4 linked regions of the Ovis aries genome follow. The main gene of each other region encodes a partner of the protein of the gene in region 3 in a complex. Links are inferred from orthologs where the notes say so. Each region holds a gene or a part of one and is shown on either strand. Other genes may lie near its edges. The genes, in order: SNTG1, PARD3, PTEN and MAST2.

Region 1 (3,563 bases), on a different chromosome or scaffold from region 3:
TCAAGAGAAATCAATTTTTGAATGTTATACACTTCACTGAAAGCCTTATTTTAAAAAGGCTGTATTATTTTAGATTGAATTAGTGTAAAGTAAACAATAATTATCCATGCCTTACCATTTTATTCACTTACTCTGGGGAAATGTTTCAAAAACTGTACAAATAAAAACTAAAAATAACAGTAAATTAACTAGGCTTAATTGTGGTACTTTGAATACTAGGGAAATGTAAGTTGTAATTCATATAAATTGTCATATTTTGATTAATATAAAATGTTAATTTTTGATGTTCATTACATTTTCTTCTGTCACCCTGGGAAGTATGGTTAAATTTTAAGATGCTAATTTAAATGACAATTAGGATGTTTAGAAATATCTCCAACAGTTAATTATCTATTAAATAAATATATAGATATTTGCATGAATACTAAGTACATTAGTGATCAGAAAATATTTAAATAGATAAAGGAATAGATTAGAAGGTAGAAAGTGTTAAAATGCAGTCTTCTTAATGAAAACTGATTTCAAAATAAACATAATTTATTAATTCTTAGTAATTCATCAACTCACTGGACATGAGTTTGAATAAGCTCCAGGAGACGTGAAGGCCAGGGTAGTCTGGTGTGCTGCAGTCCGTGGGATCACAAAGGATCAGACACGACTGAGCGACTGAACAACAACGAAACACCTGTTTCACAATGAGACGTGTCTCCTCTTTATTTCATTTAATTATCAACTTTAGTTGAAGTGGAAATACTAGGAAATAAGAGTAAAACACATAAACTTCTTCATGTACATATTTTTACATGCTTGAATTTTGAAAATAACAGATGCACAGTGACCAGTCATTGGTTATTTCTGGTGGAGCACACAAGGGGAAGTTATAAAATGCGCAAAACAACAAAAAGCTAAAAAGACATTAACTATTTTACTTTCACTTATATATGCATCTTAAATTCCTATTGTGAATATGTAAGGTGCCAGTCAAAAAAATGCATTGCTCAGGACGTCAGCTTATAGAATATGAGGTCCAAGTTTAAAAAAAGTAAAATAGAATGAAACAACACAATTTTATCTCTATCTCATTTCTAAACATTAGAGACTTGAAAATCTTAAATTGAAACCAGCAAGTAGAAATTGCTGTGTATTTGTTTCCAAGTGAAGTGTAATATTCCAGCGAAATGATAATAAGGAAAACCTAAAACTATCAAAATAAGTTAAAAAAAGTCAACTCCTATACAGCTTCATAAAATGCTTTAAAATAGTCTTAGGGGTTGACACTTACAATATTAATAAAATAATATTTAAGATATTTCTCATCTTTCCACTTTTGATATGAAAAATCTATTTACTAAATTGAGGTTCTATCCAAGTAGATTATTGAAACAACATGTCTTAGTTACTTTAACATTTTTAGATACATGCATATCAGCAAAATATTAGAAAATGTTAATTGAGCAATGAAAAAATGATAAATGAGTCTTCTCCTTGTCTCTTCCCCTGATTGTCATGTCACATTGTTGTGACTTGATGGATTGAATATAAAAATTTGTAGTCAGAAAAAAATTAATACATGTCACAAATCAGTTCAATGTAATTGGAAAAGTATGCATCCAGGTCCATTGTTACAGGCAACTATCCAGATAATAATGATGTGTTGTTGCCATCAGACATTTCACATATAAGAAATAAAGTTTAGTAAACACCTGCTGATTACTTGTGAGTACAAAATGCACTGACTTCAGTCAGTAGAGAAATAAAATACTCCCAGAAACCTACAACTCAGTGTGAGAAAAACAAATACAGATCACTCCAACTCATGCAGAGTGTGGACAGACCTACGGAAAAAGACAAAAGAGATACTGCATTCTGGAGGTGGTTGGGGGCAAGCTTGAATAGGACCGATGAGGAGGAACAGTGGTGGGCACATGGCAGGGCAGACTGGGAGTCAGGAAAATCGTCCTCCCTGGTGTGACCTCTGAGAAGACTTCAAATTCATCTGTGTGGTTTTGGAGGGTAGTGATGAATACAAGGCTTTCCAGCAAGAAAGAGACTTGTGAGTGAATAAAATCATTCTGGCTGGAAATTAAGTGGTTGTGATTGGAGACCAGGAAATGGCTTTTGTAAACAATTAATTAAAGTAAGAACATTTCTGTTTTAGATGTCATGTATGGATGTCAGAGTTTGGCCATAAAGAAGGCTGAGTGCCAAAGAATTGATGCTTTTAAACTGAGGTGTTGGAGAAGATGCTTCAGAGTCCCTTGGACTGCAAGGAGATCCAGTCTATCCTAAAGGAGATCAGTCCTGAGCGTTCACTGGAAGGACTGACGCTGAACCTGAAGCTCCAATACTTTGGGCACCTAATGTGAAGAGCCAACTCATTAGAAAAGATCCTGATGCTGGGAAAGATTGCAGGCAGGAGGAGAAGGGGATGACAGAGGATGAGATGGACGGATGGCATCACCAACTCAGTGACGTGAGTTTGAGCAAGCTCTAGGAGATGGTGATGGACAGGGAAGCCTGGAGTGCTGCAGTCCATGGGGTTGCAAAGAGTCGGACACAACTCACTGACTGAACAACAACAGCAAGATTCTAATTAAATTTAGAAAGGTGTTTTTGATGGGTGGTAGGAAATAGGCTAGAAAGATCAAATTATAGAAAAATTAAAATGCTTTCAGAGTTGTGTTGCACCTCATTTAAACAATGGCCAATGACTGAACATTTGAGCCTCACAGAACTGGATTTTCATGTTCACTTGAATTTATATCAGAACTCTAGGGAGGGGTCATGCATCCTGGGGATCACAGGTCCTCTGCTTTCACAGACCCTCACCTGTATCCGCTCCACCTCCAGGAAGGTTGCTGTTTGGAAGGCTCGTTCCCACTGGGCAAGGTCAGAGTCGAGCTCCACTGAGAAGTACAGGTCCTCCCCAGACTCGGACTGCACAGTGAAGCAGTGTCTCCGCCGGTCCAGCAGGTCACTGTCCTGATGGAAACTTGGAGTTATGCAGACTGGCACATACTTGAGCTACTGACCCAGTCACCCCTGGGTCAGTGTTGACCACTGTGTGGTGGAGACGCTGTAGTAACAAGGATTCTACCCTCTGAAATCACTAATTCTTCATTACAATGGTCACAGAGGACAATTTCCAGTCCTCAAAGTCCATAACTGACACATTTCCTTTCTGAACTGACACTGAAGAATTTCTGGCTTCAACTCTTCCTAGCAAGAGTAGTTATCAAAGCATTGACTGCATGAGATTCCATTTCTCACTGGACAGGTGGATAACACACAATGCTCCTTTTTCCTTCCAGAGCTGTGAAGATGATGAGATTAAGCAATACTTATTAATGTAATTTATAAGTTTTAAGGCGATTATAAGCATGGTATCTTTTACTGAGTTGATTTCTATAATCCTTAAACTATCATGGGAATATTCTATTAGCTGAGACATGAAAAAACTGAGTCTAACATGTTTCAGAAATTTTACTGCTTTTTAAAAGCTACACATTTCCCTTACTTGCTGCCCTTACTTACATAACTGTAATTCATTAAGTCAAAAGGAC
Region 2 (4,087 bases), on a different chromosome or scaffold from region 3:
CCTCTCCAAGTCTCATTACCTTGGACATATGTGCAGGCGAGGAACCTGCATCAGCTTTTAGGATGATTTTCAGCAGAGAAGAGAGCGACAGACAGACAAAGCACACAGTCACCACGAACACCGAGACCCGGGCCAGTGAATGCACGGGGTCTCCTTGTCACTCGGACTTGCTATAGCTCGCTGGGCCCCTCCTGGAAACCCCGGGGAAAGCTCACCCAAATGTCAGTGCCTGCTAACATCTACCCTGCACAGCAGCAGCCTCCAGTCTCATTTTGTCTCCTGCCCTGTCTCTCCACGGCACTCACAACAGTGTCTGGAAGATGTGCATGTTTACAGTATCACCCTAATCAAGCCTCAGGACCTGATTCACACACTCAAGGAGCATCTACTCGATGGCAGGCACTGAACAGACACAGGGTTACAGCAGCAAATGGTCCCTAGCCCCAAGTCACTTAAACACAGCCCCACACCCTAAAACTCATCGGTGTTACTGGTGACCCAATACCAAAGGTCAATTTGTATTCCTTTGCTAACTCATAGGTTTCCAAGTGTGTTCGCACTTAAAATTTTTCCTTGAAAATCCCTAGTGTGACTCACAAACTTATCTGGCTTTATCTGGTCAATTTCAAATTGATTTGAAATGGGGGAATTTGAAAGAAAGGGCTTCAAGATACCTTATGAAATATGTGAGCAGATTATAGAGGTTAACGCCATATCGTTTCCTAATCCCTTAGATACACAGTTAGTTTGCTGTCCTTGTAAAGTTTTCCGTTATGAGGCATTTGAAATTTAGTTAACTGTGCCTTCAATGTACTACTTCTAAGAAAATATAGTGCACAGTGTTCCCAAAGAAACAAAACAAAATGCTAAGCTGTGCAATCGAAGCACTAAAACAGGAAATATAGCAGGCACAGACCCAACATATTCTGCATCATACCTAAAGTCTCCGATAAAAATCCTGCATGGATGCAAAGAAACAAATTAGCTGTTTGGGAACTCAGGCAAAACCTAATTATACAACTAGTAATTAAAGCATGAAATGGACTACCTCAAACAACAGTAAGACATGTCACTATAAACTTATCAGGCAGGGTGGGAAGACAGCAAAACAGAAGCAAGGCTGGTTTGTGAAGCACTGAAGATGCACAGATACAGTGGACTGGGCACAAAGGCAGAGCTTTAATGACACAGGCATGTAGCCCGTCTACCAAGAGCAACAACGAGAAGGCAGTGAAAAAAAAGACCCCATGGACTCAGTGGCCCAACGATGCAGTCATTTCCCACCTGCAGACACTCGAGGCCATGTGTGTAGCAATGAAGGAGGTACGTTGTCACTGAGGGTCACACATTGCTCAAGCAGACACAAAAATTGAACACACTCCAAATAGCTCTCCTTTTCAAAGTGGAGGGAAGATAAGCATTTTCACAACCACCATAATCTGATCTTGAAAGCAACTCATCATACAAAATTAAAACTACCTAACCTCCCCTACCTACACCATCCTCTGCTGAGCACGTGTTTACAGACACATGTCTTGGCAGTAGCAGAGTTCTGAGCTGTCAATCCATCCACCTTTCCAAACACAGGGAGCCTCCTGATGGCAGCAGGACCACGCTCTGCACCATCCAGATTAGGAAGCAGGGAGCAAGGCCACAGGCCCATCCAAGCTAAAGACTCCTGCCAGCAGGAACAGTCGAGGATAGGGAAGAACATCCACTCAGCGGCTCCTAATGACTGAAAACACTGCGCTCTCATTACCCAGTTTAACAGCTGCAGGTGACAGGCTGGCATGTGACACGCCACCAGCCAATGAAAACCTTAACACTCAGTCTCAAAGTTGAGCTTGTGTTTTAGGATAAAGGGGTCCAGCCAGGTCTATGGAGGCCCGTGCCCGCCAAGACTTCAAATCAACTTTGGGAGGGAAACCACAGGTGTGTGGAAAGTTCACTAACAATTCCTAGGTATCAAAATTAAATGCCAATCAAGTGGTACAGGAATTACAAAAACAAATAGAGACAAAGAACACTTCACAAAGGAATTACGCCCCCTCAAGTGGGGGACGTCTTCAGACAAAGGTGAGGAGGCCAAGATGTACATGGCATGTTTGGACAGTGGGGAGTAAAGCCCAGACAGCACACACACACACCCCCTCAGCACCTGTCTTGTACCCGACTCCTCTCTTCACAGGACCGGGATGTGGAGAGCTGAGGCGCACACACAGGAACTCTGGGGGCCAGGCTGCAGAAGAGGCTCTCTAAACCTGAGCGGGAATCACGGACACTCAAGCCCCCAACCCAAACATCATCTCCAGCTTCGTGTTTGCTCTAAACAACTATTTAAGCAAGCTGCCACCCACAGAAGCTGCAGGTGTGGACCCACAGTTCGAGATCCAACAAGCATTTTGAAAGACCGCAAATCACACTGGTTAAAATCCCAAAACTAAGGATTGTGGGATTATCTTGGGTTACATTCTCCAACCCCTCACCTCTCCTCTTTTTAAAATGAAATCCTATATGGGCTTAACAGTAAAAGTCCTTCAGACACCCCCTCTCAGCCCTGCAACAGCACTTCCTGTTTATCAACAGACTAAAGTGAAAAGCAGGTCAACAAAACTCCACAAGGAAAACAGAAAACCCGTCTGACATGTGCTATGTGAGCCAGAGAAGCACCCCCACCTTTCAGTCACCAGCCCCACATACTGGCGGCCTCAGGCGTGTCCAGCCCAGCCCTCTGACCACCTCCCAACACCAAGACAGGGCTCTGTTCACATCACAGCAGAGCCTGAACCAGCACACAGGAGACTGAAGCAGCATAACATCAACATATCCAAGCATCTGAACACCAGAGCCCATTCTTAACTAAAAATCTCCAATCAACAAACAAGGGGCAAACTCCATTTGGACCAGGTGAGTATTTGTTTTGACACAAAGCGTCTCTGGGGCCCATCTCACAGTCACATGACATCCCTGCAAAAACCTGTCTCCATTCTGGATAGAACCGCACACCAGGGTACTGGCACCAAAATTTCAGTTTATGGTGTAAGATATATGGGAAACCATTGCTCCCACAGTAAATATAAATCAAGTGTAGACTACTGACACTCGCTTTTCTTTTTTTCCCCTTACTTTTTGGGAAAAAAAAAAAAAAAGTGCCTTGGAATTGATGCCATTTTGTACCTTGTCAAGAATTCTTCTCAACGCACCTAAAATAATACCTATATATACACATATAAATGCCACTAGAGTCCTAAAATTGCGCCCACTGATTTAGGAAAGCAAAACTCATCATAATTTAAATAAGATAATATGCCTTTAAGGACTGTCACTGCCATTTAATGAGAAGTCACAATGTTATGAACTAAGAACTTTTCAGACTGATTTCAGGGCACTTGACGCAGTTTTGAGCCCCATCACAGCAGAAGGACAATGGAAGTACCTTGAGAAGGGCGATGCATTAACTCTGAATCTACAGCAAATATTCACGCCCCCTTGACAAAGCTTATGCAAAGTAATACAACACTGAAGCAACTTGACTAGGTTACATGTGAATCCTAAGCCAGGTTCACTCTCCACAAAGACCAGTGACAACCAAATGAAATCAATTCCAGGGCTGAGGAGGCTGCATTCTAAAAATAACAGAATTCTAACCTTCAAATTAGGTTTCTTTCTATCCATGCTGTTTTTGAAAACAGTCAAACAACTGTGGAAAGAATACAGTGTAAATTAAACCATATGAAAAGAAGGAAAGTGATGGAGGCTAATGCTGCAGGGATGTTTGACTGGCACCTGGGTTTAGCAAGATGGCAAGCAGGAGGACACAAAAAAACTGACCCCTTTTCTCCAAAGACAGGGTGAGCATGCTAAGTTGGATGAGGCAGGGCAGGATTGGGGCTGAGAGGTGGTGGGAGGGGGGTCCACCTCCCTGGGAGTGTCCAGTGTGCGCAAGGGATGAGCAAGTGATCAGGGAACTCAATCCCCACAAGATCAACAGGACAGCAAGGCATTGAGGTTCCACTGCTCAAGCCACAGAGGCTGCCGGAGCATCATCTCCTGGAGCTGTGAGAAGCCACGCTTTCACCATCGGGAC
Region 3 (3,563 bases):
AGACAAGGTGAGATAAATTTCAATGATGAGAGCTGAGGAATAGGTGTCTCTAACTTTACCAATTTAACTTATGAGCAGTCAATCAATTCTCTACATATCAATGTTTAAATATCAATGTGTAAATACTAACCGCTTTGTTAAAAAACTTTAAAACCTTATTTTTTGAATGAAACTGACAAGGTATGGAAAACATGTCAAGATCATTTTCCAAAGAATATTTTAGATGAAGCTCTGCCTAATCTATTTACCATCAAACTCTATAAATGCTGCTCTAGTAGGTCCTACGCAATCTGTATTTGTAAATTAACTAGGTCAGACCACAGCTAGTGAACAATTTCAGCACCAATAAGTTATTGAAAATGAGATTTTACACCATTAAGAAATAAATTGGCTGGATAGTCAAACATTTCAAGGTCAAGGTGTAATTTGAAAGATATCAAATTTCTGGGAAAAAAATTATTTTTAATCATATCTTCACATTAACTTTACAATAGTAGTTGTACTCTGCTTAAAATCATATGCAGTCTGGGCATATCAAATATATGATATTTAAGAAGTGAAATTGAAGCCCTAATCCTAACTCTAGCACTATGAAGAAATGATTCAACACTGCACATTTAAAAAAATCTATTCTTTCAATAGCAAATTGATAAAAGCATTATGTGGGACAATTTCTACTGAAAAAGTAAATGACTTATTATTTGTGCAGTGTTGAAAATTTACTGCAACTCTAATTTCCTTTTTAACACAAATAACGTCCTTTTAAATATAAACATTATATGTATTCAATATTCAAGTAAAATTCCCTAACAGTTAATGACATTTAAAAAATGTGCAAAACTGCAAAACTCATTGTAATAGAATGTGTAAGGTCAAAAGGGTGGAACGGCTGACATCTATTGGATTGAATAAGTGCATCATAAATTTTTAAAGAAAAAAAAAAACCGCTTACTGTAGAATCTCAAATTGAAATTTCCTGTGCAGCATTACAAAATATTGTATATTTAATGAGAAAAAAGAAGCTTGTAGGCAGCACATGAAGCATCCACAGCAGGTACATGATTGAAAACTAATAACATAAGTGTAAGTTGTTGACTGATGTAGGTACTAATAGCATCTGACTTTTAGCACTGGCCTTGATTACACAGGAGATGGAGCAGTCATTACAACTGAGAAAACATATTTAATAAATCATTGTCGATTTTTATAATGTTTCAAGCCCATTCTTTGTTGATAGCCTCCACATTTGTATGGTTAAGTCATTGTTGCTGTGTTTCTTATCTATGACCACATTACTTTTATATCCCTTCATTTGTGGATTCTTAAGATGTTGTGGAAGGTTCATTCCTGTACCCCAATACAGATTCACTCCCTCTAGCTGCCTTTTCTAGCACCAATATGCTTAAAAAAAATAAAATGCACAAATAACAAGCAGTGACAGCGGCCAATTCTTCAAACGTCCAGATTAATAACTGTAGCATGCTAAAGAAAGGTGCGTGTAAATAGCTGGAGATGGTATATGGTCCAGAATCCAGCACACAACAAATGCCTTTCTGAGCATTCCCTCCGTTCCCCTAACCCGAATACATGCATTAGAATGTAGCAAAACCTTTTAGAAACTCCTCTTAGCCAACTGCAAACTTATCTGTTGCCACAAGTGCAAAGGGGTAGGATGTGAACCTGTGTATCACAAAGCTCTTTAGCCACTTCAGTTGGTGACAGAACACAAAATGAGAAATTCCTACGTATACACATCAGTCTGTCTCCACTTTTTATAAAACTGGAATAAAATGGGAAAGTGCCATCTTTATTCATCCTAATTGAATTTTAAATGTCCTTTTGACACAAAAAGGTATATACATGACACTACACAATCTTTTTTCAACTGGACAACAAGTGTCAAAACCCTGTGGATGTATAGGGTAAAACAAGATTGGTCAGGAAAAGAGAATTGTTCCTATAACTGGTAATCTGACACAATGTCCTATTGCCATTTAAAAAAAAAAAAAAAAAGGTCCATTTTCAGTTTATTCAAGTTTGTTTTCATGGTGTTTTATCCCTCTTGATAAAAAAAAAAAATCAGACTTTTGTAATTTGTGTATGCTGATCTTCATCAAAAGGTTCATTCTCTGGGTCAGAGTCAGTGGTGTCAGAATATCTGTAATGATCAGGTTCATTGTCACTGACATCTGGTGTTACAGACGTTGAACTGCTAGCCTCTGGATTTGATGACTCCTCTACTGTTTTTGTGAAGTACAGCTTCACCTAGAGAAAGAAGAGAAAGTGTAAATGGAAAATCCATAAATCTGACCACTCTCAAAGATACATATCTTTATCGGATTCATTTTTAAGTACTATGACATACATAACCCTTAAAGAGCCTTTTCAATGACCTTCTCAAGATTTCCTACATTTTCTTTCTTGGCATACACTGAAAAGAAACTGGGATGTTAATATACTATGTGTTTTTTTAAATAAGCATAAACTACAGGCATTAATGAAATAATTCTACAAAAGAAAGGTACTGATTTCAATAGTCCACATAATATTTTTTCGATCACAAAATTCAACTCACATAGAGTTGAGTTTCAAAAGAATATTTCACTTACAGCCTGTCTGAAATTCAATGTATTTTCTAATACAGATAATATTAACAATGATGTTTAGGATTCCATTCACCCTAAAAACTTCACTGAAAGGGAGTAATAAAAAAGTTAATATCATACAGTGCTCTAAATAGTGAACCAACAACCTTTATAAGCAGAGGTGAAATAACTGTCAAAACAACTCTACAGGATAGGTCTTTCTGTTTTAAAAGAGAGAAAGCTATAGTTCAGCAAGGCTAGGACACTTGCTAAAGGCCACATATCTAGTAGGCAGTGGACATGGGATTTAAATTAGATCTGACATCCAATTCTTTGATCAGGCTATTATAGTGTCCTAGCTTTCATTCTTGCCCTCCTCTTGCCTTTATTTTAAAGGAGAGGACAGAGTAAACTTTTAAAGACAAAAATCAGATTACCTCTCTCCTGTGGAGAACACACTCAATGTATTCACACTTGGACTGATGTGTGTTAGTCAAAATGATTTCTTATCTATTGCTCTTCAAATACACTAAGCTCACTCTTGTCCCAGGGTTCCTACACCTGCTCTTTCCTCTTTTCCCAGGTATTTTATAGCTCCCTCATTTCACTTAGGCCTCTAATTAAAGTCAACTTCTTGGAGAGGCCTTCTCTAACCATCCCACTAAAAAATACACCAAGGCCACTCTCTCTCCTATCTCTGCTTTATTTTTCCAAAGCACTTACCATTATATGATATTATATGTGTTTGCTGATAACTGCAATAGCTTTTATTTGTAATAATAAATATAAAACCTCTTGTAACATTAAAACAAAAAAATAAAATTAGAGGAAGTCACACGTTAAAAGCTAGTAACTGAGGAAAATGTTCACAGAGAAAAGAAAGTAAACAAACTTACAAATTCTAAAAGACACTTCAAAACACTTTAATTATAAGATCTAAAGGTACTTATTAGCTCCATTTTCACTTGAAACAGGTAG
Region 4 (4,239 bases), on a different chromosome or scaffold from region 3:
TTATGGTCCCCAGGACTGCTGCAAATCTTTCCATGTAATTCTTTCACAATGAAAACTTTTAACAAATAGCCACACATTATTTTTCAACTTAAAAAAAGGAAGTTTTAGCATCTATCATGGTACATTTACACAATGGAAAACTATACAGCAGTGAAGAAGGACAAGCTTTTTCTAAAAGAAACAACATAGATGAATCTTACAGACATAGCTGAATGAAAGAGTACAGTCATAAAAGAGTTAAGCTGAATGATTTAATTTATATGAAGTTCAGAAGAGGCAACACTAATCCATGCTGATAGAGGCTGGTGAGTGGTTACCTCTAGAGATGAGTAATACCTGGGAGAAAACACAAAGGCACATTCTAGGGTACTGGAAATGTTCTACATCCTTATCTGACATAGGTGTATTCATTCTATAAAAATTCATGGGCTGAATGAACCTTTGATTTGCACTCTGTAGTCACATCACAATTAAAAAGTAAATAAACAAACATACAAGTTACTGATGACCTTGAAGACATCAGTTTGGGGAGAGTTTATGTGTAAAAGCCAAATATATGAGGAATGTATATAAGGTGAAGAAGCTGAGACAGTGAACTGTTGTTCAGTCACTCAGTTGTGTCCAATTCTGCAACCCCATGGACTGCAGCATGCCAGGCTTCTGTGTCCTTCACCATCTCCTGGAGCTTTCTCAGACTCCTGAATATAAAAACTCATTTTTCAAGAAGGTTGCTGGTTAGCAAAAATGAGATTACAAAGTAGCTTAAGTAGGTTACAAAACTCATGGAAATCTTGTTGTTTTGTTTTTATTTGAGGTATAAGACAACAAGGGCCTACAGAAGATAAGAGGGAATGAAATCAAAAACATAGAGAAATTAGCCTGGAAGAGGATAAGTACTTCCTTCTTTGAGATTTAAAAGGATGAGTGAACACAGAAATCCTGAGATAAAGGGGAAGAAATCAAGTAACCTTGAACTCTTCAGTGAAGCACTGGATAAGGTAAATTGGACCAGGTAAACTTGAGTCAGGAAAGGATCTGGGTTTTAAGTACATTTTAAAATGTTTTGAATAGGAACTGCAGAGAATATAAAAGACAAGGTTGAGAGAGAAAATTACAGTAAGAGGACAATGCTCAGCGGCCTCAAAGTAAGGGCAAAGATAGCAATAGCACAGTCTACTCAGCACTGGGTGGAGAATACAAGATAAAAAACCAACAGTGGGGGAAAGTCCAAGTGCTAACATGTGCATCACTGAAACTATATAATAATGATGTCTATGGAAAATACTTATTTAACATACAGGAAAGGTCTCCTGTTAGGCAGGAGACCTAACAGGACCCAGGACCCTTCAGATCTCCGAAGATGAAGTCAGTAGGGTCTTGAATAGTATGTGCAAAAGGGAAGCTGTCACTGGAGTCCATTACTACAATACATTTTTCTGTAAATCCCACAAGATCAAGGACCATGCAGGTACTCACTGAACTTCCTACAGCTACTAATGACAACTTCTCCCTCATAAAACTGACCTTTATCCCCTACTTCTAAATAACCCACACTTGATTAAAAAATTAATATATAAACACATCCTGTCCATTCAGAAACTCCACGAACTTTTTGCATTTCTTTCTATGTTTTTCCACTAAGATATTTTCAGTGGTAAACTCCTATAAGGCAGAGACTAAATCTATGAATTCTCTGCTCACAGTACTTCCTTTGGATTGCATACATGCATCCCCAAAGCACATGTTTTAAAAAGTGCTTTCTCGTGAAATGAATCATTACTGGAGAGAACTTTAACAATGGCTAGGAACATATTCCAACAAGACTATAACGATGGCCAAACCAGAGAATGCTTAGGAATGACATCTTTTTCACAACTGTCAAGGCAACCTCGAGAAAATAAGATAACATTTACTATATCACACTGACTGTCCCTACCTTACATTTTTTGCCCCTCTGGATAATTCCTCCATACCCCTTTAGTAAACCTATTCTTTGCACTTCATTCACTCCCAGCCCACATTCCGGCGTCTCTTCTTCTCCTCCAGAACCCTTTACCTCAAACTCCCATAGGACCATTTTTCATCCCTACGCTCTCATTTCCCATTCAACCCCAGACTAATACTTCCATTTCTCCACTCCGCATTTTTCTGCCTCTCTAGACCTCCCATTCCTCCTGCCCAACTTCAATTCAATCCCCACCCCTTCAACTCCCCCAGCCCAAATCTTCCCGCCCGAGACAGCCCTCCCCCATCAGTCCCATTCAGGCTCCCCCTCCCCATCCTTTCCCTGCGAGACCCCGGCCAGCCCTACCTGCTCCCTGACTTCGGGCCCTGCGGGCCCGGTCCGCTCCTCCAGTCGCTGCCTCCCGGGCGGCGCTCGCCGGCGCGGGGGCAGGGGCTGGGGCTGGGGCAGCTCCGCCGCCCGCTGAGCCCCATCCTCCCGGCCGGCTGCCGGCGGCGGCGGCGGCGGCGGCGGCTGCGGTCGATCGCGGCAGCGGCTCCGCTTCATATCTGCGGCTGGGCCCTGCGGGCGTCAGCGCCGCGACTGTCCCGGCCCCGCACCTCCCCGGGCCGCAGCGCTACCGCGCCAACCACCTCCCGCGGCCACCATGGCCCGGCGGGCACCCGAAGCCACCGATCCCAGCCCGCAGCTCCTCCGCGCTTTCTGGGGCCTCAAGGGCCGCGGCCTCCTCGGCGCTCCTTACGCAGGAGGCAGCATCGCCGCAGCCTCGTCCTGTCCCAGCCGGCACACGCTCGGCTGGTCACCCGCCGCCGCCGCCGCCGCCGCCGGCTCCACAGCCAGCCGCCCGCCCGCCTGCCTCTGGCCGGGCCCCGCCCCTCCCTTCCCCTCGCGCGCGCGCACCGGGAGCCCGCCCGCCACCTCCGGCCGCGCGCCGTCTCCCGCGCACGCGCCAGCGAACGGTCGCGAGAGACCCGCCCTTGGCCCCACCGCGTGGTGTGGGAGGGAGAGGGCGGAGAGCGGAAGGGGGCGGGGCCCCGAAGCGCCTGTGGTAGCCGCGGACGGTTCATTGATTCTTTCTTTCGTCCATTCATGAAATTGTGTGCCAGGCCAAGCCAAGTGGTGCGAATCTAAAATGAATTAGAACGGATCAACGTCCTCAGGGAAGTAGGTGGAGAAGGACCAGGAGCAGCAAGAAGATAAAGGAGACAACTAGTGAACAGAACACGGATGCATGCCTTTTTGTTCAGCATCTGCGAACCAACTGTCATCTGATCGTCACATCACACTTTGAAGGCAGGTCTGTTCATTCTCCTGTTACAGATAAGAAGACCGACGAGAAGTGACATGCACCAGGTCACTGAGTAAGCTGGACAGAACTCAAATTCTGGCTTTTCTGACTCTTTCCACGGTTTCCTGCTGCTTCCAAAAAGTAAGACAGGATGTGGAAAGTCCTATAAAAGGGGAAGAAGCAATAGATTCCTTCAAGGGGAAAGGGAAGACAAGCTTCCAGAACATCGCCATGATTCCCCACTGACAACGAAGTAGTTACATTATCGCCCAGTCCAGCCTGGCCACCGCAAGTCCAGCTGTGGCTTGGGCAGCTCAGCCTGCCACTTTCAGTGACTCATCTGCTCAGCAATGTGGCTGTAGCTCAGCCCTGTCTGGCCTCCTCCTTCTGGCTTCTGGTCTGCCACAGCACCATATTTTTCCTCTTTTGACTTGACAGGAATGCTTTCACAGAAGCATTTCCTTAAGGGGTCACCCTTTTTTTCCTAAGCCTCCTCCCTGAACCTTTTTTGAAAGACAGTAATAACTAACATTATAGCAAAACGACTTCCCTGGTGGCTCAGATGGTAAAGCGTCTGTCTACAATGAGGGAGACCCGGGTTCAACCCCTGGGTCGGGAAGATCCCCTGCAGAAGGAAATGGCAATCCACTCCAGTACTCTTACCTGGAAAATCCCATGGACAGAGGAGCCTGGTAGGCTACAGTCCGTGGGGTCGCAAAGAGTCGGTCACGACTGAGTGACTTCACTTTCACTGGATACCAGTCAGTGTGCATTCAATTCACACATATGTGAACAAGAGGTAAGTTGTATAATTTCCAGTTTACAGTTGAGGAAACTGAGGTTCAAGTTACATGAAATGCTCAATATGACACAGCTAATAAGTGCAGAGCGAGGACTCAGACCAAGGTCTATCAGATATCAGAGCCTATACACACAACCGATGTTTCTACAGCCAATCGACAATCTGCTCTTTGTATTCCCTATTTCC

What was found.
Region 1: the proteins of PTEN (region 3) and SNTG1 are in contact, whole or in part, in a crystal structure (PDB 7PC7), measured with the Homo sapiens proteins. The link is inferred for Ovis aries from reciprocal best matches to the Homo sapiens genes PTEN and SNTG1. Residues at the interface, in NP_000305.3 of Homo sapiens: Asp395, Gln396, His397, Thr398, Gln399, Ile400, Thr401, Lys402, Val403; in NP_001274742.1 of Homo sapiens: Gly67, Phe68, Gly69, Leu70, Ser71, Ile72, Lys73, Gly74, Glu77, His78, Ser85, Lys86, Ile87, Ser88, His118, Val122, Leu125, Arg126.
Region 2: the proteins of PTEN (region 3) and PARD3 are in contact, whole or in part, in an NMR structure (PDB 2K20), measured with the Rattus norvegicus proteins. The link is inferred for Ovis aries from reciprocal best matches to the Homo sapiens genes PTEN and PARD3. Residues at the interface, in NP_113794.1 of Rattus norvegicus: Asp393, Glu394, Asp395, Ser398, Gln399, Ile400, Thr401, Lys402, Val403; in NP_112514.1 of Rattus norvegicus: Ala599, Gly600, Leu601, Gly602, Val603, Ser604, Val605, Lys606, Gly607, Asn608, Arg609, Ser610, Lys611, His614, Lys622, Ile625, Met659, Leu662, Arg663, Met666.
Region 4: the proteins of PTEN (region 3) and MAST2 are in contact, whole or in part, in an NMR structure (PDB 2KYL), measured with the Homo sapiens proteins. The link is inferred for Ovis aries from reciprocal best matches to the Homo sapiens genes PTEN and MAST2. Residues at the interface, in NP_000305.3 of Homo sapiens: Pro391, Phe392, Asp393, Glu394, Asp395, Gln396, His397, Thr398, Gln399, Ile400, Thr401, Lys402, Val403; in NP_055927.2 of Homo sapiens: Lys1112, Lys1113, Tyr1114, Gly1115, Phe1116, Thr1117, Leu1118, Arg1119, Ala1120, Ile1121, Arg1122, Val1123, Tyr1124, Met1136, Trp1138, Glu1141, His1170, Val1174, Ile1177, Leu1178, Leu1191.

The regions. Positions count from the first base shown.
Region 1 is NC_056062.1:33,673,513-33,677,075, reverse strand, and holds part of SNTG1 (gamma-1-syntrophin), read right to left. Parts: intron 2,983-3,563; coding exon 2,830-2,982; intron 1-2,829. UniProt on the Homo sapiens protein: Adapter protein that binds to and probably organizes the subcellular localization of a variety of proteins. May link various receptors to the actin cytoskeleton and the dystrophin glycoprotein complex.
Region 2 is NC_056066.1:17,895,105-17,899,191, reverse strand, and holds the start of PARD3 (partitioning defective 3 homolog), read right to left. Parts: upstream 2,858-4,087; 5' UTR 1-2,857. UniProt on the Homo sapiens protein: Adapter protein involved in asymmetrical cell division and cell polarization processes. Seems to play a central role in the formation of epithelial tight junctions. Targets the phosphatase PTEN to cell junctions.
Region 3 is NC_056075.1:9,336,017-9,339,579, reverse strand, and holds part of PTEN (phosphatidylinositol 3,4,5-trisphosphate 3-phosphatase and dual-specificity protein phosphatase PTEN), read right to left. Parts: intron 2,266-3,563; coding exon 2,080-2,265; 3' UTR 1-2,079. UniProt on the Homo sapiens protein: Dual-specificity protein phosphatase, dephosphorylating tyrosine-, serine- and threonine-phosphorylated proteins.
Region 4 is NC_056054.1:20,409,343-20,413,581, reverse strand, and holds the start of MAST2 (microtubule-associated serine/threonine-protein kinase 2), read right to left. Parts: upstream 2,835-4,239; 5' UTR 2,510-2,834; coding exon 2,312-2,509; intron 1-2,311. UniProt on the Homo sapiens protein: Appears to link the dystrophin/utrophin network with microtubule filaments via the syntrophins. Phosphorylation of DMD or UTRN may modulate their affinities for associated proteins. Functions in a multi-protein complex in spermatid maturation.